3 linked regions of the Arabidopsis thaliana genome follow. The protein of the gene in region 1 purifies or fractionates together with the protein of each later gene. This does not show direct contact. Each region holds a gene or a part of one and is shown in the gene's direction. Other genes may lie near its edges.

The links.
Region 2: the proteins of UVH6 (region 1) and AT2G39130 purify together in Arabidopsis thaliana (affinity purification with mass spectrometry, with the first as the bait; one large-scale study listed by BioGRID). This does not show direct contact.
Region 3: the proteins of UVH6 (region 1) and AT4G24820 purify together in Arabidopsis thaliana (affinity purification with mass spectrometry, with the first as the bait; one large-scale study listed by BioGRID). This does not show direct contact.

Annotation. Positions count from the first base shown.
Region 1 is NC_003070.9:773,116-780,913, forward strand, and holds UVH6 (RAD3-like DNA-binding helicase protein), read left to right. Parts: upstream 1-2,411; 5' UTR 2,412-2,534; exon of another isoform or gene 2,535-2,692; 5' UTR 2,693-2,706; coding exon 2,707-3,240; intron 3,241-3,366; coding exon 3,367-3,647; intron 3,648-4,039; coding exon 4,040-4,122; intron 4,123-4,220; coding exon 4,221-4,624; intron 4,625-4,756; coding exon 4,757-4,950; intron 4,951-5,037; coding exon 5,038-5,218; intron 5,219-5,370; coding exon 5,371-5,495; intron 5,496-5,691; coding exon 5,692-5,781; intron 5,782-5,886; coding exon 5,887-5,965; intron 5,966-6,058; coding exon 6,059-6,135; intron 6,136-6,422; coding exon 6,423-6,531; intron 6,532-6,628; coding exon 6,629-6,748; 3' UTR 6,749-6,929; downstream 6,930-7,798. Other genes in the region: AT1G03180 (non-structural protein), read left to right, coding at 428-576, 981-1,038, 1,116-1,424, 1,537-1,585, 1,670-1,764, 1,853-1,932, 2,007-2,064; AT1G03200 (uncharacterized protein), read left to right, coding at 7,640-7,721. UniProt on the Arabidopsis thaliana protein: ATP-dependent 5'-3' DNA helicase, component of the general transcription and DNA repair factor IIH (TFIIH) core complex, which is involved in general and transcription-coupled nucleotide excision repair (NER) of damaged DNA and, when complexed to CDK-activating kinase (CAK), involved in transcription by RNA polymerase II.
Region 2 is NC_003071.7:16,321,704-16,329,545, reverse strand, and holds AT2G39130 (Transmembrane amino acid transporter family protein), read left to right. Parts: upstream 1-2,239; 5' UTR 2,240-2,390; exon of another isoform or gene 2,391-2,625; 5' UTR 2,626-2,695; intron 2,696-2,783; 5' UTR 2,784-2,801; coding exon 2,802-2,980; intron 2,981-3,119; coding exon 3,120-3,445; intron 3,446-3,912; coding exon 3,913-4,127; intron 4,128-4,526; coding exon 4,527-4,550; intron 4,551-4,999; coding exon 5,000-5,400; intron 5,401-5,520; coding exon 5,521-5,656; intron 5,657-5,747; coding exon 5,748-5,913; coding exon of another isoform or gene 5,914-5,957; intron 5,958-6,002; coding exon 6,003-6,046; intron 6,047-6,137; coding exon 6,138-6,200; intron 6,201-6,276; coding exon 6,277-6,375; 3' UTR 6,376-6,588; downstream 6,589-7,842. Other genes in the region: WTF9 (Ubiquitin carboxyl-terminal hydrolase family protein), read right to left, coding at 6,589-7,752.
Region 3 is NC_003075.7:12,787,927-12,795,062, reverse strand, and holds AT4G24820 (26S proteasome regulatory subunit Rpn7), read left to right. Parts: upstream 1-2,340; 5' UTR 2,341-2,463; coding exon 2,464-2,602; intron 2,603-2,700; coding exon 2,701-2,815; intron 2,816-3,158; coding exon 3,159-3,249; intron 3,250-3,327; coding exon 3,328-3,473; intron 3,474-3,563; coding exon 3,564-3,783; intron 3,784-3,919; coding exon 3,920-4,028; intron 4,029-4,127; coding exon 4,128-4,296; intron 4,297-4,417; coding exon 4,418-4,592; 3' UTR 4,593-4,746; exon of another isoform or gene 4,747-4,994; intron 4,995-5,271; exon of another isoform or gene 5,272-5,464; coding exon of another isoform or gene 5,465-5,578; exon of another isoform or gene 5,579-5,695; coding exon of another isoform or gene 5,696-5,824; exon of another isoform or gene 5,825-6,012; 3' UTR 6,013-6,033; downstream 6,034-7,136. Other genes in the region: AT4G24830 (arginosuccinate synthase family), read left to right, coding at 75-123, 231-413, 531-605, 695-880, 1,009-1,097, 1,426-1,978; AT4G24810 (Protein kinase superfamily protein), read left to right, coding at 5,465-5,578, 5,696-5,824, 6,055-6,249, 6,391-6,438, 6,518-6,646, 6,736-6,860, 7,052-7,136. UniProt on the Arabidopsis thaliana protein: Acts as a regulatory subunit of the 26S proteasome which is involved in the ATP-dependent degradation of ubiquitinated proteins.

The DNA of each region.
Region 1 (7,798 bases):
AAATAGCACGATTATACGCGCGATGATATATATCAAATTGTGGAAAATGTTATAAAGTAGAAAATTGGGCCGAAGCTGGATCCAATTATGATTCTCAAATAACGTGAAGGAAGGCATTTTAGTCCCCTCTATACGGCCCAACCACTCGCCACCGCTTATTGGTCCAACTTCAGGGTACTTTGGTAATAAATCAAAGCTTAGCTTTTGAAATTAATAAAGTATAGGGGTTGATTTGTTATTCTCAGTTTCTATCGGGTTAATTTGTCATTTGCATCGTTTCTAGTTTCCACTTTTGTTGGGTGATTTTCTTCTCTGGAAGGATCTGTTTTTCTCTTCTTCGTCTTCTCTCACCCGCCTACTGACTTTTTTTCAAATTTCTTCAGCAACACATACATACAGTCACAAGGTTTCCAATTTTCGATTCACGATGGAAATGGCGGAAGGGGAAGGAACTACAGAGGAGAACTACGACGTAGACATCGCGACCACCGCTTCTTCATTAGGCGGCTCCGGCGTCTTCCATATCATCAATGACATAGTCGGATTCGTCCTCTATATGCACCAGCAGATCCCTTCGTATGTTATCTCTTCCTATCTTCGTATCTCTATGCTTCGATGTATCCTTCGATCTGGTGATGATGTATCTATTTGTTTGTTCTTCAATCTCTCCGTTAATTTCTCCGATTAGTCTGTTGGTTACGAATTTATCAGAAGAAAAATAGTTTCGTGGTTATGAATTTATGGATTCTGGATGGATTAGTGATTAATTCCTGGTAGGTGAGTTATGTTCAATTCTAGGAGAAATTGAAAAGCTCTACGCAATTGTGCACACTACTTCCTTTTGGTTTTAGAATTAAGTCTGTTGTATCCACTATGAGTGTTTTACTGAAAACCAGAAACTTCAATTTGCAGCTTTGGTTTTGGCTACACAAAGCTCCTTCTACCAATATGACTGTTGTTGGTTATTTACATCTGTGCAGGGTATTACAAGACATGAGCCTTGAATTTGAAGGATTGCAAACTGAATTTATGGATTTGGTATGTTAGTCCTACAGACGCCATTTTCACTTTAAGGTCTAAGGTCTTTTTCACACTCTAAGAATCTTAGGTTGTAGGAGACGAATCTTGCAGAACCTCAAGTGAAACCACTGGTTAGAAGAAAACTGATGAGTAGAAAGAGAGAGGTGAAGAATGAGATTAAGAAACTGGAGAAACTGATGAAAACCATCTCTAGTCTCCGAAGTGCGCTGCAGTTAATGATCCGTGAAGCTCCTGGCATTCAGAAAGTTGTGTTGATTCTTGGTGGTAGTCCATTACGGCCTCAAAATGCTTATGAGTTGTTATTCACACAACGCAGAGACCATGTTCTAGGCTACGAAGGTGACTTTGCTAAATCCAAAGCTGCAGAAGCACTTTCAAAAAAGGTTTATTCTTTTTCTTACCTCTGTTTTCATGTTGCTTGTGATTTGTCTCTTTTCAATTTTATCTGCTGTGATAAGTCAAAAATGGTTGAGCCCTTCACTCTTGGCTTTACAGACTATCCGAGCACTGATCTCGACGGGTGCTGGATCAACTTCCTACCCAGGTAACTTTTGCATAAATTGCAAACTTCTTTAGCATTGTTGTGAATTATGGTGTAATGATTTTTTTCCCTTCTTCTGAGTTGCAGGTCCAATGAGGCTCTTCATATTGGTTCATGCTCCACCTACTTTGAATCTTCCACAACATTTCCTTCCTAAACGTGACTTCAGATACAACAGAAAGGTATACACTTCTCTGCTAATTCTATTTCACACATCCATGTACAACATTCCGATTTTCCGTCACCTGCAAACATCTTTTATTATTGCAGTTTGTGCCTTCAAAGTTGAGATTCAAGTGCAGAACGCAAGACAATGCAACAAATTCTCCTCCCACAAATGATCTAATATGGTACTTCTCTTATTCACAATTCTCCAGTTACACACTAAACAAGTTCTTGACCATGCCTTACTGTGTCATTGCAGGTATCAATGTCGACATGTGATAAAGGGATTAGCTTTCCATCAACCAGTTGAAGAATAAGACTTTAGAGTTTGTTTGTATCTCTCTATTGTTGTAACTAAACCCTGTTGCAAATTTTAGAAAAAAACCAGCATTGTTGAAACAATTCCAAATCTTGAGATGACATTGTACTACTACTACTGCATACTCTAATACTCTGTTGTTTTAACAAAATCAGGATTGTTCAACTATTTTATATTTTTGGACGAATTGTTAACATTTAAAAACCTAATTTTGTCGAGAAGTTTAATATACATAAAGTTAGGGGGTCAAACGCATTAAAATAAATAAATAGGGGGTCAGAATGAAAAAGAAACAAAGCTTTAAGTTTTTCTAATAAGAGTCCTCCTCTTCTGTTTGCTCTGGTTACTTCGGCAAACACAGACGCAAAATTTTCTTCTTCTTCTTCTTCTTCTTCTTCTTCTACCTTGAAGCTGCTACCGGTTCCTCTCTCAGTCGTTGATAACACATCGAAGCTTCCATTATCACCTGTAAGTTTTCTCCTGTTATCTTCTCTTCGCTTGATCTCAATTGTTCCTTCTTTCTCGTTGTTCGGGTTTATCTACTCCAACTTGAATCGCTTGTTTTGCTAAAGTGAATTCGAGTTTTTTAGGGTTTTGTTAGTTCTAATGCCAATTTCGATTTCTAGGTAGGAGGAAGAAGATGATCTTTAAAATCGAAGACGTAACTGTCTACTTCCCTTATGACAACATATATCCAGAACAATATGAATACATGGTTGAATTGAAGCGAGCCCTAGACGCTAAGGGACATTGTCTTCTCGAGATGCCTACCGGAACTGGTAAAACCATTGCTCTTCTCTCTCTAATCACCAGCTATCGACTCTCTCGTCCTGATTCTCCGATCAAGCTTGTTTACTGTACTCGTACTGTCCACGAGATGGAGAAAACGTTAGGTGAGCTTAAGCTACTACATGACTACCAAGTACGCCATCTCGGCACCCAGGCTAAGATCCTCGCCCTTGGTCTTTCCTCTCGGAAGAATCTTTGCGTTAATACTAAGGTTTTAGCAGCCGAGAATCGTGATTCTGTTGATGCGGCCTGTAGGAAACGAACTGCTAGCTGGGTTAGGGCTTTGTCCACGGAGAATCCAAATGTAGAACTCTGTGACTTCTTTGAGAACTATGAAAAGGCTGCTGAGAATGCGTTGTTGCCTCCTGGTGTTTATACTTTAGAGGTAAGATTAAAAAAGTTAAGGTTTTTCACATTTGTTGTTTGATCAAGTTTATGTTTTAGTTGGAATGCTTATTTCGAGGTTACTTGCACATTTTGCCTGATGGTATATGTGTGTTTCGATTTTTAGGATCTAAGGGCGTTTGGTAAGAATCGTGGATGGTGCCCTTACTTTCTCGCGAGGCATATGATTCAGTTCGCCAACGTTATTGTTTACAGCTACCAATACCTACTGGATCCTAAGGTTGCTGGGTTCATATCAAAGGAGTTACAAAAAGAGTCAGTTGTAGTGTTTGACGAGGCCCATAATATCGATAACGTGTGTATTGAAGCACTCAGCGTCAGTGTGAGGAGGGTTACACTTGAAGGAGCTAATCGAAATCTTAATAAGATAAGGCAAGAAATTGATAGGTACGCTAATTTTTTCCTATATAGCTGATACTCCTTAAGTTCTCTTGAACGTGCCACTCTTAATACAACAATAAACACAGTGATAGGGTCTTTTCTTTTTCAATTGAATTTCCTGATTGTTCTTGAATGCCATCTGGGTGTCTGCTCACTCCAGTTGCTAATTGTTGGTTTTCTTAAGGAAGTTTAAGTTAGTAAGAAAATAATCTGGTTTTATGAGACTGCTTTTTGTCAAAGAACTGTAAGGGGAACAAAAATTTACAAACGCTTTTGTCATCATCTTAAACACATGAAGCATAATTTTCTTGGTTCAATACAGGAAGTGACCTGGTTATTTGCTGATGCTTATTTTTAAGTTCTTATTACATTATTGAAATTGTCCAACTGGTAGGAAGGTTCAAGGCTACTGATGCAGGAAGATTGCGAGCTGAATACAACCGGCTGGTTGAGGGTTTAGCACTGAGAGGGGACTTATCTGGTAAGTATGTGTTCAGGAAGGTGATCTGTGATTTGATTGAAAGCACACAGTAAATTTTCTAATTCTATGAACTTGACGCAACAATTTTTTTTTTGCAGGAGGTGATCAATGGCTTGCAAACCCTGCACTGCCTCATGATATTCTAAAGGAGGCTGTCCCGGGGAATATTAGACGGGCTGAGCATTTTGTGCATGTTTTACGCCGATTACTTCAGTACTTGGGGGTACGGCTGGACACTGAGAATGTAGAGAAAGAAAGCCCTGTTAGCTTTGTATCGTCACTGAATTCTCAGGCTGGAATTGAGCAGAAAACACTGAAGTTCTGTTATGACCGGCTCCAGTCTCTCATGCTAACCCTTGAAATTACAGATACAGATGAGTTTTTGCCTATCCAGACAGTGTGCGACTTTGCAACTCTTGTTGGGACATATGCCCGGGGATTTTCCATCATCATCGAGCCTTATGACGAGAGAATGCCCCATATTCCAGATCCTATATTGCAGGTAAATATGGTGTTGACCTACTTTCTTTTGAGTATTGTCACTGGGATTTTAAGGGATTATGACTCACACGTAAATGCTACCGTTTGAATAATTGAGAATTGTATCTGAAACATATATCCTTTTGTATCTTAGTTGAGCTGTCATGATGCGTCTCTGGCGATCAAACCGGTGTTTGATCGTTTCCAGTCAGTCGTGATTACATCAGGCACATTGAGCCCAATTGATCTTTACCCCCGTCTTCTTAATTTCACTCCTGTTGTTAGTCGAAGCTTTAAGATGTCAATGACACGAGACTGCATCTGCCCTATGGTTCTAACTCGGGGAAGGTATGTGGTATATAAAAAGAATCCTGAACACTTAACTTATTTTTTAATTTTATATGTCTTGACATTATTGGTTGTTTTCTTTTTCAGTGATCAGCTTCCTGTTAGCACCAAATTTGACATGAGAAGTGATCCTGGTGTTGTGAGGAATTACGGAAAGCTTTTGGTAGAGATGGTATCTATTGTTCCTGATGGAGTTGTCTGCTTCTTTGTTAGTTACTCATATATGGATGGCATTATTGCTACATGGAATGAAACTGGAATTCTGAAGGTAAGGTCTTCTTCATCGCTTTACCATGCCAGTAATTTTTTCAGAGTTTTGCATGAATTGGAATTTTTATGATACCTCAAAATATTTTTAGTTGCTTCAGGCATTAATGTATATTTGTTTACTGATATTACCAATTCTCTTAATGTTTGTAGGAAATAATGCAACAGAAGCTTGTTTTCATTGAAACACAAGATGTTGTAGAAACAACATTGGCACTGGATAATTATCGCAGGGCTTGCGATTGCGGAAGAGGTGCAGTTTTCTTCTCTGTGGCCAGGTAAAATTTTTATTTTTGAATGGTAGATGGTTTGGGAATTCATTGCAATGCGTCTTTGGTTCTGCTTCTTTGTTTCTGTATTATAATACTGGAATTGTCTCTTCTCTCCTATTCTTGGTTGGTTAACAAATATTAAAGAGGTTTCACTTTTGAGAAATTTCAAAGAAAGTGATCAAATTTTGTATTTGAACTGCAGGGGGAAAGTTGCTGAAGGTATCGATTTTGATCGTCATTATGGAAGACTGGTTGTAATGTACGGAGTACCATTCCAGTATACATTAAGCAAGTAAGTTGTACTCAAATGAATGTTTATCATTTCAATTTCCGGTTTTCTGCTTTTATATTTCATCGTACTTGGGAGATGATAAGATGGAAACGGGAAAAATTTCAGGATATTACGAGCAAGATTGGAGTATTTGCACGATACATTTCAAATAAAAGAAGGCGATTTCCTAACTTTTGATGCCTTGGTATGATTCTTATTTTATGATCTTATTAGATTTTGGTGTGCAACTCTTTTACCTGTTTGTGACTGTTGTTAACTCTTTTTGGCTTTAACACAGAGGCAAGCAGCTCAATGTGTAGGGCGAGTAATCCGGTCAAAGGCTGATTATGGGATGATGATATTTGCAGACAAAAGGTACATGCCCGCCTTAAGTTTTCTCTCTCTGAGTCTGGTCATTTAGATTCTTGCTATTTTACTAAATGGGATTCTCTCTATAATCTATCTAGTATGATAATAAGTATATGCGCAAGTATCTGAGATCACCTCGAGAATAGAAGATTGTAACAGAGTTCACACTGTTCCTTAGGAATGGGAAAATATTCGTAGGACAGAAGAGAGACACAGATATATGCTTATGTTGGTTTATAATGTCACATTTCTATGGTCTAACAATACACTGCAATTGATGGTAAAACTTGCAGATACAGCCGTCATGATAAGCGGTCCAAACTACCTGGTTGGATACTTTCGCATCTGCGTGATGCACACTTGAATCTAAGCACTGATATGGCTATTCACATTGCTCGAGAGGTAAACCTATAACTCGCTGCTTTTTTATAACTCACAGTGAAACAAACAACAAGGCATAAAGAATCAACAATTTTCCTGGTTTTTGTTTTTTTTGCAGTTTCTTCGGAAAATGGCTCAACCGTATGATAAGGCGGGTACAATGGGAAGGAAAACTCTGTTGACACAAGAAGATTTGGAGAAGATGGCTGAGACTGGTGTGCAAGACATGGCTTATTAGTAAATCAGTTTGTTTGTTATTTTTTGGTTTAGGTCAATCAAAAATTGTTGTAGCAAAAATTTTCACTGTAGGTATTTTGTTCTTTTTCTTGATGATTTTCAAGAATCGAATTGAAATTTAAGGCTCGTAAAAGTTTCGTTTTGGTTTTAAATCTATTGAAATTAGCAAAATTTATGCTTAATGTTAAGATAACTAGATTATCATATTCACTCATTACATCATTTTAGATCAAGAAATACTTCGTCGGCTCCTTGTTAAATCTATCAAACATACCACTAAAAAAAAAAAATCTTAAAGAATGATTAAATAAATTTAACCAAGCAGTAGAAGTGGAATTGAAATTGGCAGAGTTAGTGCGACGACCCAATCACCTGTCTCCAATAACCGCCTCAAAAACTGTCGAAGCCCATTGGGCACTTGCAAAGCCCAACAGTTGGAGTTCCAGCTCACCCACTAGCCGTTATTACGCAGGCTAATTTTTCAACGTGCGAGAAACCAGATTTCCTTTTTCCCGAAGACTATTTAGGGAATTTCCTCTCTTGAGCCAAATTTTCCTTTTTCCCAAGGGGGGTATTTAGGTATTTTCGTCTCTCTCGGCCAAGTTTCCTTTTTCCGTTCCTCCGTAATAAAGCTTTCATTCTTTTTGTAGGTTTCCATTAGAAGTTCAGAAATACTGTTTATAAATACAAATCCAGAGTCAGAGATCCATTCGATAGCACTTTCCTCTCTTTCTCTCATCGTAAAACCGTTCTTCGTTTTTTCTATTTCTCTCGTCTCTTTCTTCTACCCAGATCACTGATCAACCGTGAATTTTACTCTACTCTTTCATCAATTTTACTGTGTTTAATTCATAAAACAAAACAAACGATCGATTTTTGTTTTTTTTTGGGGATGAAGATCAGAAGCAAAAGCAAAGGCTATCGTCAAGAGATCAAATCAACTTGCACCGACTCCAACACTCTGTTCTCAAAAGGTACTTTTCGTCTTGTTGGAATTTTTGGCCAAATAACGTCTTTTTTTTATATGGTATCTAATTACTGTATTCTGGTT
Region 2 (7,842 bases), on another chromosome or scaffold:
TCTCTTCAAAGTTTCTTGAAGTAGGAGAGTAAGATGTTATTTTGCAGAGTAAATATAATTTGCACAAATAAAATCAACTATAATGTGAACTCTGTAAAACTCAAAACGTAAACATATTCTTGGCTAGTTGGTTTCATTTTTTTTGTTTGGTATGAAATCCCAACATACACAGTATAAAGTCGTAGCATTATGTTATCTCCAAATCCAATACTTATTATCTCCATATGTAAAATCTAACCTTCGCACCATAGGTACATATATAATAACATAACATGGTTACTCGCAATTTATGTCACGAACAGAAAAAACCTTGCAAAACATAGTTACTTGCAATTTATATAATGAGCAAAAATCATCACAAAAAGACAAAATGCAGGACATTATGTATTATTATTATTTTGATAAAAGGCTTATGATATTATGTTGACAATGAGTATCATTCAACAAAAAAAAAAAAGAAGAAGACAAAAATAAAACATTGAATCAGTGATTGATGTGCAATATCATTCTTGAGCTGTCTAAACCTTCACTGCGTCATCATTTTGGCATTGATTTGTGTATCATTTTTGCAAATACTTGTGAGGACGATCTTCCTCTCCTCTGTATTAATATAGTTTCGAAAATAAAAATAAAATACAACAATGAAGCATGTGGGGATATGTTGAAGGAAGCGGAGAATCAACAAAGAGAGATCAAATGAGCACATGCTCTTGAGTTATCGTTTCAGAAGAAAAGTCCAAATGAACGACCAACAGATCTACACATCATGTGATTCTGTTCTTACGATTGTGATTTTTTTGCCGGTTCACCTCAATTAACTAGTCATTTTTGCAGATTTCGAAAGTGAGATAGATATATACTTTGATTTGACATACTTACAATCTGATACATACATGTTCAATGAACCATTTTGTTTTTATTAATCTGACCTTTTTATCGTATATCAACTTTCATTTTGAAAAATTAGCTATTTGATATTGACCTAATCTTTTGATTGATTACTGTGGCTTTTTCCCTCTTGTTTTATGACGATGCAATTTAAATTCACCAATCTAGATACTCCATAGCATATGTGATATATACTCTGAAAAGGTGTTGCTAGCTAAATGAGATGAATCGCTCATTCATATGTGGTTTTGATTTTTGTGTTTCTCATGACACTTCTTGTTTTCGTTAGCCTCGCTAAGGCGTCACATTTCATGAAACCTTAATAAAAAAGCACTATTTGGTTAGTTTGTTTTAATACATGATCAGATTCTCAGTTTGTATTTCTGACCAACAACAAAAAGAAAGAAAGATTCTCAGTTTGCTGTTAAACTATTTTTAAAAAAGTGGGATTTGAGACAATCCCACAATCCTAAAGCTGATGTATTGCAATAATAAATTTAAATTATCTCCGTCAGCAAGATATGGTTTGCCTACCCAACAATGAAGAATAGTATAATCATATTCTATAATAAGAAATTGACATAAACAGCCCCCTCGGATTATGCTAATTAGTCCACTTAATTACTTTTATTTAGGTGTATCTTAAGGACATTTTCTTGTCTATAGTAAGTAAGATAAAGAAGCAAACAATATGATTAAAAATTATGACGTCGTCGAGCCATAAATAAAACAAAATATGTACTATTAAATAAGCACTGCTTAATCTGGCACCAATCACATATTCACGGCGTACCACCACTTGAGTTTGCAACTCGTCGTCATCCAGTCATCTCCTTGTTGTCCTAAACTTGTGTGTTCTTGTCTTTTTATTCCACTCGACCAAAAGGGCGTGGACACACTCGCCTGATACTTGTCACACGTCCTTCATACGGGCTCTCTGCTAATAAAACAAGATGGTTTTTTTTGTTGTTGATATTTTGTTGTTTCCGTTTTAAACCAAATCTTACTTTCACATTGTTTTCACTTTTGTCTTACGATCTCATTCCAATTTCTTACCAAACATGGTTTAAAAATTTAATTAAATATCAAAACATCTTTGTTAAAAAAAAAACCCCCAAATTGGTACTCTTTTCCAAACTATTACATGTATAAGCGTTGGGTTTAGAAAACAGTACCAATCAAACTTAAACTGGGAATCTATAACTGGAAACCTATCACATATTCAAACTAAAAATGGGAATCTATAACCACAACAATTAATACTCAATGATTAATTATTAAATAAGTTTAGAGGAAAATGATTAATATAAATAAAATAAGTTACCCTAAAAAGTATTTAATTTGAAAAAAACTTTTGTAAAGAGTTTTATTATTTGTAGAACAGAGAAAAAGCCGCTCTCTCTCCCTCTCCTTTCCACTCTCATCTCCCTCTCTCTATATCCTCCTCCTATCAGAAGAGCTCTCTCTTCTCTCCGCACCGATTCTGATCCGAAGATTTTCAGGTAACAATATCAATGTCTACAACACCAACGATTCTCACTTTCTTCTTTCTTCAATCCTTTTTCATTTGTTTTCTCTTTTGCCAATCAATGATTTAAGATTGAATGAAATTCTCACGCAGCGATGCAATCTTATTTCTCTCAAAATTCTGTTTCTGTTTCGAAATTCCGACAATCTTACCAATGTTCTTTTGTTTGTCTGTTTTCTTGATGTGATCTGGGGACTCAATCATTGAAGCTTAGAATTTTTTTACATTTCTCCATAATCCTGTTCTTGAGACAGAACAAGAGACTGTTTGACTTTACAGGTTAGATCTCGTCACCAGTTATCTTTATTCGGATTTGATTGTTCCGACAATCTTACCATTTATTTTCTTTTACACGAATTCAAATCAGATTTCATAAAGTGAAAAAATGAATCACGTACCGTCTGATCAAAGCTTTTACATTGAGAGCGAGGACGAAGACGATAGGAAAGATTACGTAGAAGAAGATGGTGGAAGCCATTCTGATTCCTCTGATGATGTTTATGATGAAAACCAAGCTCACATTAAGCCTAGCTCATACACCACTGCTTGGCCTCAGAGTTACAGGTTTGGCTTCTCTCCGTTTCCACTCTTTATTGTGGTAGTTAAGTGAATATGTTTCATTTCCGCTAATATTACTCCATTTCTTGATTTGATTTGCTACGTTTTAAGAGTTGGTTTTGTGTGTTCTTGATAATGTTTGTAGGCAGTCGATTGATCTTTATAGTAGTGTACCGTCTCCCGGTATCGGTTTTCTTGGGAATAATTCGATGACGAGATTCGGAAGCTCTTTCTTGTCTTCTGGTTTGATAAGAAGACATACTCCGGAATCATTACCTACTGTTACAAAACCTTTGTTAGAAGAACAAGCAGATGAACAAGCACTACCAAAACATAGACTTAGCTCTCAGGGCTTACTCTCTCCTATTCCTTCGAGGAGGGGTTCGATGCGAAAGGATGAGAAATCATCCATGGTGTCTCATGAGATTCCAATGTCTCGTAATAGCTCATACGGACAAGCTGTACTAAATGGTCAGTTCATCTTAATGCTTGAGTTAAAATATCGTGTCTTCTCTTCGTTAAAAGTGGTTAAATAGTTTTAAGAGATTCTCTGATGCTTGGCTTGATGAGAGTAGTAACGATGGTAGAGCTAATTGCTGCTTTCCTAGAACTATAGAGCTGCAATATTGATTGCAATTGTGTTCATTCACCGTTAAATACTAATGAAAATATGTCAACATTTTCTCTGTTGTTTGATTTTCATTATAGGAATCTAGATTGTGTGTGTAAGAGGGTCTAAGACCGTCTTCTTCGGGGTTTAAAGATGTATGTCTCTTTATAAATTAAGTGAATCGTACAAAACAACAATCAACTCTATTGTCCTATAGCACATGGAGCACATGTTGGACCAAACACGTCTAGGTTCAAAGAACATGATTGAGATCTTTTGCTCTTAGTAAATTTATGATCATCTTGTATAACATGTGGGTCATGTGCAGGATTGAACGTTCTTTGTGGGGTTGGAATACTTTCAACGCCTTATGCTGCCAAAGAAGGAGGATGGTTAGGACTTATGATACTATTTGTATATGGTCTTCTTTCTTTCTACACCGGAATCCTCCTTCGTTATTGCCTCGACAGTGAGTCTGACCTCGAAACCTATCCCGACATTGGCCAAGCTGCGTTTGGTACTACTGGACGTATCTTTGTCTCGGTAAGATGATAAATTTCCTTAAAATCTTCCTCTATAGTGAAGGTGATATAAAGTTAAGGACCAAATAGAGAAAAAGAAAACTGAATGAACTATATACAAGATCCCACACAAAAAGAGAATTGCCTTTTGGCCTAGGATCAAATAGAACAACTCAAAAGCAAAGGGCAAAAAGCTACCACTTTTGTTTCAAGTATGAAGCTTTATTCTTATGAAAAATTACTATCACGCATGTGTTGGTGCAATTAGATTGCTATAAGAAGTCAAATGAGTAGAAGAAACCTATTGAATTAATAATACATCTCATCAAATAGAGCAAGAAACTACGAATATTAGCTTCTTTAATAGTGGAATTTGATATCAATTTTTATTAATTTATTCCTTTTATTGTTTGTATTGCAGATTGTACTCTACTTGGAGCTATACGTAAGTACTTCTTGGATTCGTCCATCACTTGACTTTAATTCATATTTTATAAAAATTGGAATCCCATGACTCTTTTTGTCAAGAAAAGTACATAACTACAGAGATTCCAAGTTGTGTTTTAAAAAAAACAAACAAGAAAAGAGATCTCAAGTATGTGACCCCATGTTGTGAAACACGTTAGCAAAGGGTCCCATAGATTCTGCCACTAGTTCTAGATTTGGCACTACCTGAAGCTGCTTTAAACTTTTCTCTTTGTTTCATTTTGTTCCTTCATAAAGCTTATATACTTTTGACGTCACTAAAGTAGCAAAGATATATTTTAGATGGAAATGATCCCTAAAAAGCTTCTTAAAAGCTACTAGTGTGAAATGATTAGTTGAATAGTGACTATATAGTAGATACTAGATGATACATCTGCAGACTTGACATGAGTCTATTCATATTTTCAGGCATGCTGTGTGGAATATATAATATTGGAGAGTGATAATTTGTCTTCATTATATCCAAATGCTGCCTTAAGTATTGGAGGATTTCAGTTAGATGCACGCCATCTATTTGCATTGCTAACCACTCTCGCCGTTCTCCCCACCGTTTGGCTCAGAGATCTCAGCGTACTTAGTTATATCTCTGCTGGAGGGGTGATTGCATCAGTGCTAGTGGTTTTATGTTTGTTTTGGATTGGTTTGGTAGATGAAGTTGGAATTCACAGCAAAGGAACTACACTAAACTTGTCAACATTACCTGTGGCTATAGGACTCTATGGTTACTGCTACTCAGGACATGCTGTTTTCCCCAATATTTATACTTCTATGGCCAAACCATCTCAATACCCTGCTGTTCTCTTGACATGGTAAGCTTATGTCGCTTTAAACAAGTTCTTATCTTCTACAACGCTTCGACTTTCGCTTATGCAAACTTCAAGAAAATATTCAACCATTTTGATAGCAGAAAGATTGATAATTTTGTGCAGTTTTGGTATTTGTACTCTGATGTATGCCGGCGTCGCTGTTATGGGTTATACGATGTTTGGAGAATCAACACAGTCACAGTTTACTCTCAACTTGCCTCAAGATTTAATTGCAACTAAGATTGCTGTGTGGACTACGGTAAGTGGACCAAATATGTTTTCTTTCCACTACGTATTGGTTCTTGCATGTTGGTTGGAAGTAAAACCGTTTTGTTTTAACCGTTTCACAGGTGGTCAATCCATTTACCAAATATGCTTTGACCATATCTCCAGTAGCAATGAGTCTTGAGGAGTTGATACCATCAAGGCATATCAGGTCACATTGGTACGCCATCGGCATTAGAACCCTATTGGTCTTCTCTACTCTGCTTGTTGGTCTCGCTATTCCCTTCTTTGGTAAGTTCCTCTTTACTATTTTGATGCAAAGCTCCTTTTCTTGAAAATCATACTTTTGCTAGTTGTGAGAACACTCAAAAATCTTGCAGGTCTTGTCATGTCATTGATTGGATCGTTGTTGACTATGCTCGTCGTAAGCTGTCTTTTCCTTCTATTTTTGGTATATCTACTACAAATGAGGATCTTAAGTTTGGATATATAAGTTCATCTTTTGTTTTGTGCAGACTCTAATACTTCCTCCAGCTTGTTTCTTGAGCATTGTAAGGAGAAAAGTTACCCCGACCCAGGTTAGCCTCTCACAAAAACATTGTTTCTATGTGTTATAAGACGATTCATTAACAAAGTTTTGGTTGGTTTTTGTAGATGATGTTGTGTGTCTTAATCATCATAGTAGGAGCAATATCTTCAGTCATTGGCTCATATTCAGCTCTTTCCAAGATCGTTGAGAAATTGACCAACTGAAAATATTTCTCTGTTTTTTTCTTACAAACTCTTATACCCATTTTGTCTTTCAGGGGAATACTTTTTTTCTTTTTTTCTTTTTCTGTTTTGTCTTTTGTTTTCGTATAGCAAAATTCATTCTTGCATTCAAAGCTTTTGTAATATCTGAGTGATGATCTGCATCTTAAAACTGGTTTGAAAGTTGATTAATAAAGATTGGTACAACATTTTGCCTTAGCCTTCAAAATCCAAATCCAAATCTTTATCTACAACCCCTTCGTCCCTAAACCCGAAACTATTCCTTCGACTCTTCAGAATCAACTCTGAATTCTTCATCAACTGGATGTATTTCTTCCTTACCCCCAACACAGGATGTGTTTCAACACTAGCTTTATCTCTATAAGGCTCTCTAAGAATAGCTGTACAAGTTTTATTCTTCATAGACAAGTAGAAAATCTGCGGATGTCTCTCAAACGCCTTATGAACCTTTTGCGGCAATCCAAAATGCTTCTTGAGACATAACAACTTCTTCCTCTCAGCAGAATGCTCAACGAAAAGACAAAGCAATTCATGAAGAAAACCAACAACTCTCTTCTCTGCTATATCACTACTTGGATCCAAACATGAATAATCATCATATGGTGATACATAAGGAAGCTTTTGAAACTCCATTAACCAATCTTCAATCTTGACTCTCAATCTACAACCTTTTGATGGAAACAGAGGAAACTCAATCTCTTCTAAACTCACTTCTCCTCTTCTCTTCTTCATTGCATTCTTCTGCAACACAGACAAAACCTTATCTCCTCCATTATAATCTACTGCTAAACCTTTAACTCCATCTTCCATATCCACAAACCTAAACGAAGAATCTAAATTCATATCTGGAAACTGCAAGTAATCATCAGGTAAACCTAAATACCATTTCATTCCTTGAACTATACTTAGTGGCAAAACATTATCTTTACTCATCAGAATCAATTTCTTCAACCTATCACGCAAATCATCTGCAGAAGTTTGGTATACGACTCTCTCTTGCCTATCTAGTTCTGTTGCTTCTGGTGTCAATCTAAACCATGGGAGATTATACTCTGGACCAACGAACTCTTCAAAGATTGAAGGAAACTTCCTTAAGAAGTGAGCGATTTTGGTTGATACATCGAATTGACGAGTCTTCTTGGAGATGGCAGAGATCGGAATGCAGCGATTAGGTTCCTGGACGATACAGTTCTTAAGAGAGACGACGGATTTGAGCTGAGATGATCGGAGGATGTGTTCGATGTTGTCGAAATAAGGATCTCTCTTCCATTTCATGTAAACGTCGACGTAGGTTCGTTTCTGAGTAAGGTTGGTGCAGGAGGAAGCTACGGTTTTGGCATGGCGGCGAATAGAGAGCATTGTGGAACTAATCGGAAAACCCTAAAACCCCAATTAACGGGAACATAGAAATCGGACTATCGGAGAAGACAGTTGCAATGTTTACTTTAA
Region 3 (7,136 bases), on another chromosome or scaffold:
ATACGTTTTGAATCTTCCTCTGGTTATGAAACAACTAGTCTGACCTTCCTTATATGTAACTATTTGTTTTCTAGGGAGAACTATGGTTGTGAAGTTGTGTGCTTCACTGCTGATGTTGGTCAGGTACATCACAAAAATGCCACATGTCAACTGTTTTAGTTAAGAAATGAAGTTTTATGTTGTTGCAATCTGCTTATGTCTTCTCAACCTCTAAATACTTTGATGTGAAGGGCATAAAAGAGTTAGAGGGTTTAGAACAAAAGGCTAAGGCTAGTGGTGCTTCTCAGTTGGTCGTTAAGGATCTCACAGAGGAGTTTGTGAAAGATTTCATCTTCCCTTGTCTTAGAGCTGGTGCCATCTATGAACGAAAATACTTGCTTGGTACCTCCATGGCTCGACCTGTCATTGCTAAGGTAACATTTCGAATGGTTTTATATGATTGACTTGTGAGGACTACCCCCACTATTTCTAATATCTGGATATATCTTTTGGATTACATATTGTCACTAATACATTTTCTAAATGATTAGGCCATGGTTGATGTAGCAGCAGAGGTTGGAGCTGATGCCGTTGCACATGGGTGTACTGGAAAAGGAAATGACCAGGCAAGTACTTGGAATGTCTTGCTAATGCGTCACATTGGAAAACACGCATTGATTCTTACATTACTTTTTTGTACTGATTGATTGACCAGGTTCGGTTTGAGCTCACCTTCTTTTCATTAAACCCTGAACTTAAAGTTGTGGCACCATGGAGAGAATGGGAAATCCAAGGCCGAGAAGATGCTATTGAGTATGCAAAGAAGCATAATGTTCCCGTCCCAGTGACAAAGAAGTCCATTTACAGCCGGGACAGAAACCTGTGGCACCTTAGTCATGAGGTAAAGTAAAAGACAAGTGTTGGTTCGCATTTTTCTTTTGGATACAAATTGATCCAGTTTGTCACATTGCTCAGTTCCTAATAATGTGTCTCATGCTCTGATATCAAACTTATGTGTTTTGTTGAAAGGGTGATCTATTGGAAGATCCAGCAAACGAGCCAAAGAAAGATATGTACATGATGAGTGTGGATCCTGAAGATGCTCCTGATCAGCCTGAGTAAGTTGGAATTTCTTTGAGCCCTTGTGTTTAACTATGCACTGTAATTACCCCAAGGTGGTTTGTAGTGGATTATAGCTGTGTTGATAGTTTGAAAACTAAAGTTGAGTCAGTTAGCTACAGAGCTGAGGTTTAGGCAGAATGAGTTGGTGTGTTCAGGATTTGTTTATGGTTTGGGATTGGGAATCAGATCTAGAATAGAGAGTTCTCGTTATTAAAGTCTCTCAAAGGAGTTAACTGGTTTAGCTGCTATGCTATCAAATTTAGATACCAAGAGTAGGATTTTGCAATTTGCATCCTAACTTTTGATACTTACACACTTATACAGATACATCGAGATCGGGATAGAATCTGGACTTCCAGTGGCGCTGAACGGGAAGGCTCTGAGTCCAGCCACACTTCTGGCCGAGCTAAACACAATAGGAGGAAAGCACGGGATTGGGCGGATTGACATGGTTGAGAACCGTCTGGTTGGGATGAAATCACGAGGTGTGTATGAAACTCCTGGAGGCACTATCCTCTTTGCAGCTGTACAGGAACTAGAATCCCTCACTCTAGACAGAGAGAGTATTCAGGTAAAAGACACATTAGCACTGAAATATGCAGAGATGGTCTACGCAGGAAGATGGTTTGATCCGCTTAGGGAGTCCATGGACGCTTTCATGGAGAAGATAACCGAGACAACCACGGGATCTGTGACACTGAAGCTGTACAAAGGATCTGTGTCGGTTACAGGGCGTCAGAGTCCTAACAGTCTGTATAGACAGGACATATCTTCGTTTGAAGGGAGTGAGATCTACAACCAAGCGGATGCAGCCGGGTTTATTCGTCTTTACGGGCTTCCAATGAAAATTAGAGCTATGCTTAAGAAAATTAGCTAGAAATGGTTTTCATTCATGTCTTACTTGGAATTGAGAGCCTGACATTAGAACACATCCCTTATTGTGATGCGTCGTCATAGCTTCAGCTTCTTTCGAAATAATTCTATCATCTTTCTTCACTTTGGAAAAACTTGAGAAATTTAATAATGAGTGCCTCTTTCTTTTATGATTTCCATTGGAAAGAGATATAAAATATAAATATCCATTACTTGAATTCAACGATCTTAAGTTTAAATTATTTATAACGAGAATTTAAATGTAAATGTTTTTTACTTTTTTTTCTTATGGTAAAAATTCCAAATTTAAATGTAAAAAAAGATAAGGGTGTTTAAGGTAATGCGAAACTTATTTTTTTTTTACATACACAAAAAAAAAAAACCATCGGACCTGAAATCTTTGTAAGCTCTTCCTCCTTGCTCAAGCAAACCTCTTTTTATATATTTGCTCTCTCTCTCTCAGATCCGATTCAAGCTTTCCGATTTGCGATGGACGGTGGAGCGGAAGGATCTCAGCAGCCTCACCTTATTCTAGCCAACAAGCTCTTCCTCCTCACTCATCCAGATGTTCCAGACATCGAGAAAGTCCAGCTCAAGTCTGAGGTTTTGGATTTCATCAGATCCCATGGTTAAGCAGCTCCTTTTCTCTAATCAGTGAGAATTAGCTTAATATTTCTTCGAGATTTTATGTTCCTGATGTTTCGTTGGTGTTTTTATTTATTTTAGGTATGGCTCCTTTGTACGAAACCCTAATTGCCTCTTCGGTGCTGGATTTGGATCAAAGCTTGTTAGAGTCTATGCGGGCCGCTAATGAAGAGGAGCTTAAGAAGCTCGACGAGAAGTAAGTTTCCTTCAGTTTCTCACTTTTATTTGGCAGTGCTTTGAAATTCGAATTCTCGTATTAGTATTTTGGGTTAGATTGATGTAGGGGGACTGTAGCATTCTGGGTCTCAAATTGGATTCAGAATTGTGTTTGCAAAAGTCCACTATGAATTTTGGGAATCTCCATGTTCCTGTGGTAGCTGATGTAGCATGATGTCTTAGTATTCTTAGGGAGATAACCATTACCTAACCATTGGTTTCTGAGTCCATCTTGGCCTCCGCTTTAACTTTGTAGAAACTTCTGAACCAGTATGTTATCAGCCAAAGTTCTCTTACATATTCTTTTCTTTCACTTTTTTCAGGATTGCAGATGCAGAAGAAAATTTGGGTGAAAGTGAAGTTCGTGAAGCTCATCTTGCTAAGGCTCTGTATTTCATCAGGATTAGTGATAAGGTATGTGGCATATCAAAGTTGATAGTTATGGTAACTTCCGTGGATCGTGGCCATTAAATTTTTGTTTTGTAATCCTAGGAGAAAGCTTTGGAGCAGCTAAAACTCACTGAAGGGAAAACTGTTGCTGTTGGACAAAAAATGGACGTGGTGTTTTATACGTTACAACTTGCTTTTTTCTATATGGACTTTGATCTGGTATCAAAGAGCATTGACAAAGCAAAAAAGTAAATGTCAATTTGGCTGTATTTTGACTACTCTTCATGGATAGTGCAACTGAAATCCTTGAATTAACACTTTCCGTTTTCCCTTGCCAGATTGTTTGAAGAGGGTGGTGACTGGGAGAGGAAGAACCGGCTAAAGGTCTATGAAGGTTTGTACTGCATGTCCACCAGAAATTTTAAGAAGGCTGCCAGCTTATTCCTGGATTCTATATCAACCTTCACAACATATGAAATTTTTCCATATGAGACCTTCATATTCTACACCGTCCTGACAAGCATCATAACTTTGGACAGAGTTTCCCTTAAGCAAAAGGTATTTCTCAATGGCTCAGTCTTCCACTTAGAGTTGTCTAAACTTAGATAAAAACTTTTTAGTATGTCGACTTATTAAAATGATGTATATCCATGTAATTTGTTGAAATTCTTATCAAGTGCTACTAATTTGACAGGTCGTTGATGCACCTGAGATCTTAACCGTGCTTGGGAAGATTCCATTCCTTTCTGAGTTTCTGAACTCCTTGTATGAGTGCCAGTACAAGGCGTTTTTCTCAGCATTTGGTAAGTTCATTACAAGGACCAGAGGTCATACATCCGAATGCATGTTGCTTGGCTTTTGTCTGTATGTTTACTAACTTCATTGTCGGCTTATGTTCTCAGCTGGAATGGCGGTGCAGATAAAGTATGACCGTTACTTGTACCCGCATTTCCGGTTCTACATGAGGGAAGTCAGAACAGTGGTGTACTCTCAGTTTTTGGAATCTTACAAAAGTGTGACAGTTGAAGCAATGGCAAAGGCCTTTGGCGTTTCTGTCGATTTCATAGACCAGTAAGCACAATAATGAACGCTCTTTTGTATATTTATGTTTGCCACCTCTCTTTAGAAGCATACAAAAAAACGATAATACAAACTTAAATCTGACTTGAAATGTATTTTTTTTTTTATCCAGGGAGTTGTCGCGCTTCATTGCTGCTGGGAAGCTTCACTGTAAGATAGACAAGGTTGCAGGTGTTTTGGAGACAAACCGTCCTGATGCAAAGAATGCACTTTACCAGGCAACAATCAAGCAAGGGGATTTCTTGCTAAACCGAATCCAGAAGCTGTCTCGTGTGATCGATCTGTGAGCATGCTACATGTTTCTGTTTCACTCTTTCGTCAAGCTTTGCAACTTGGAAACTCCGAACGGTAGAATCTTAAGGTCTGAGAAACGATATGAACTTTGGATTTTGAGATGAATGGCTGTAGTTTCTTTCATCAACTCTAGTTGGTTTGTCAGTGGTGAATTTCCCAAGAACAAAGAGCAAGTTTAATCTCCAATGTTCATTTTATTCTTCCTCGCATATGGCTTTTGAATCTGTTGTTTTCATCGCATCTATCTAGTATCTAAGAGAAAACGACCACCATACCTCTTACAAAATAAAGCTTTTGTTTCACAAGGTGTATTAGTTGACCATATAGATATACCAAGAAAAATGCATTAGTACACTTCATAATCTGAATGGTTAGAATTGAACACAAATTAGATACATCTAAAGGACAGTCCTTGGTTGAACTTGTGAGAGATACATACACAGTAGTTGGTAACTTGGTATTTTGCAGATTCTTCTTCCACGGACGTCTGTTTAGTGAATTAGGTGAGATTCTTCACCATCACACTTATAGGATTTACAATTTGTTTCTTACTGTTTAGTAAGTTCCTTTTTTCCTAAATTTTTTGATATGGTCTGGGGTTAGTAACAAGACCATCATTGTAAACTACTTTAAGATTTGAGGAGATTAGTACCTTATCTTCTATTGCCTGCCTAATTATAACCAGTGACTCACAGTGAGTGTGACATAAGACAAACGGATTTTGTTTCCTTTACAATTTAACGAAACAGTAATTAACACTCTCGAATGGATTCGTAGAGAGCAGCAAACTCCACTCTGACGCCATACATAAACAATTCTTAACTTTATCCTCTCATCCTTATCACTCTTCCTCAAAACTTCGAAAATGCATGCGATCGATTTCAAAGAGATTCAGGAGAAGCTCTCTGATGGATTCCGGCCTTGGCAACGATCGTTTCAGTTCTGGGCTCGTGCCACTGATATCTACACCGGATACAAGGTTTCTCTTTGATTGATGGGTACTCCTTTCTTCTTCTTCATGTTTCGTTTTGTAATACATTTTTCTTATGATTTTCTGCAATTTTCTTTCAATCTGTGTCTTGTTCTGGGCTTTTAGGTATTTCAACTTCGTATGAACTTCGTCAAGGATGTTAATAAGCACGAGGAGATGTGGGAGAGACAACATGAACTTGCTGCTCATAAAGTTTATTCTATGTGCTCTGACCTTGGTGGTTTCTTCCTTAAGGTAATGGTGTGTTGAGACTGTTGTTGAGGTTTGTGATTACCAGAGGGGACTTCCACGTTTGGGATTGTTATGAATTACTCATCTTAAATCTTGTTGTAACAAAAAGTATGAGTTTTTTTTTTGTTTCTTTGATGAGAATAAAGGTTGTACATTTTACTCTTTGATTGTTCACAGTTGCTTATGATGAGTTTTTTTTTTTTTTTTTTACTTTTTTTCATTTTGTTCAATAGATTGCACAAATTCTAGGGAAACCTGACTTGGCTCCAGCTGCTTGGGTGAGAAAACTCGTCACTTTGTGTGATCAAGCTCCTGCCACACCATTTGATGCCGTTCGAGTTGTCCTGGAGAAAGAGTTAGGTAAAAGCATCGAACAAGTGTTTGAAACATTTGATGAGAAGCCTCTTGGCTCTGCTTCTATTGCTCAGGTACTACATTCTTCATCACTCATAGTTTCAGAACCTTTGTACAGTATTACCGTGCATGCTTATAAAATCAGATAAGATTATAGTTTGGTTAAGAAAGTCTCAATATATACTGTATTTCACTTTCTTTTTGCTTCTATCTAGGTACACCGAGCAAGAGTAAAGGGTGACAAGAGGGATGTTGTTGTAAAGGTGAGGAATAATGAGGAGAAAACTGAAATCTTCCTAGTCTACTTTTAATTGGTTTCTGAATGTGCTACGACATGTTTAGGTCCAACATCCTGGCGTTGAGAAGTTGATGATGGTTGATATCAGAAACTTGCAAATATTTGCATTATACATGCAGAAAACTGATATCAAATTTGACTTGTTCTCCATGACAAAGGAAATAGAGAAGCAGGTATATATCATTCTTTCTATATTTTGAGGGTATCTGGTAAGAACTTTATAGCCGCCAAGTCACTATCAGTCCTTGTTTTCATTTACTAGATTGGGTATGAATTCGACTTTAAAAGGGAGGCCAATGCAATGGAGAAGATCCGACGTTTTCTATATGATAACAATAGAAAGAGTCCTGTTCTGGTTCCCAGGGTGTTTCCAAATTTGGTGACCAGGTACTTATTCTTATATTAGCATTCTGGTTATCCCAATAATGTTTTAAGGCTTTTTAGGTTGTCCTGTTTCACTGATCAAGAATTATGGTTCCTGTCTTTTCGACATAGTCTCTTTCCATTCGAAAGTTCTTTAATTTTCGGTTATATTCACTAATGAGTGCTGATCAGAGGAATAATCATAATACGCACAGGAAGGTTCTGGTTATGGAATTCATGAACGGAATCCCGATCTTGAGCCTTGGTGATGAGATGGCAAAAAGAGGGATAAATCCTCAT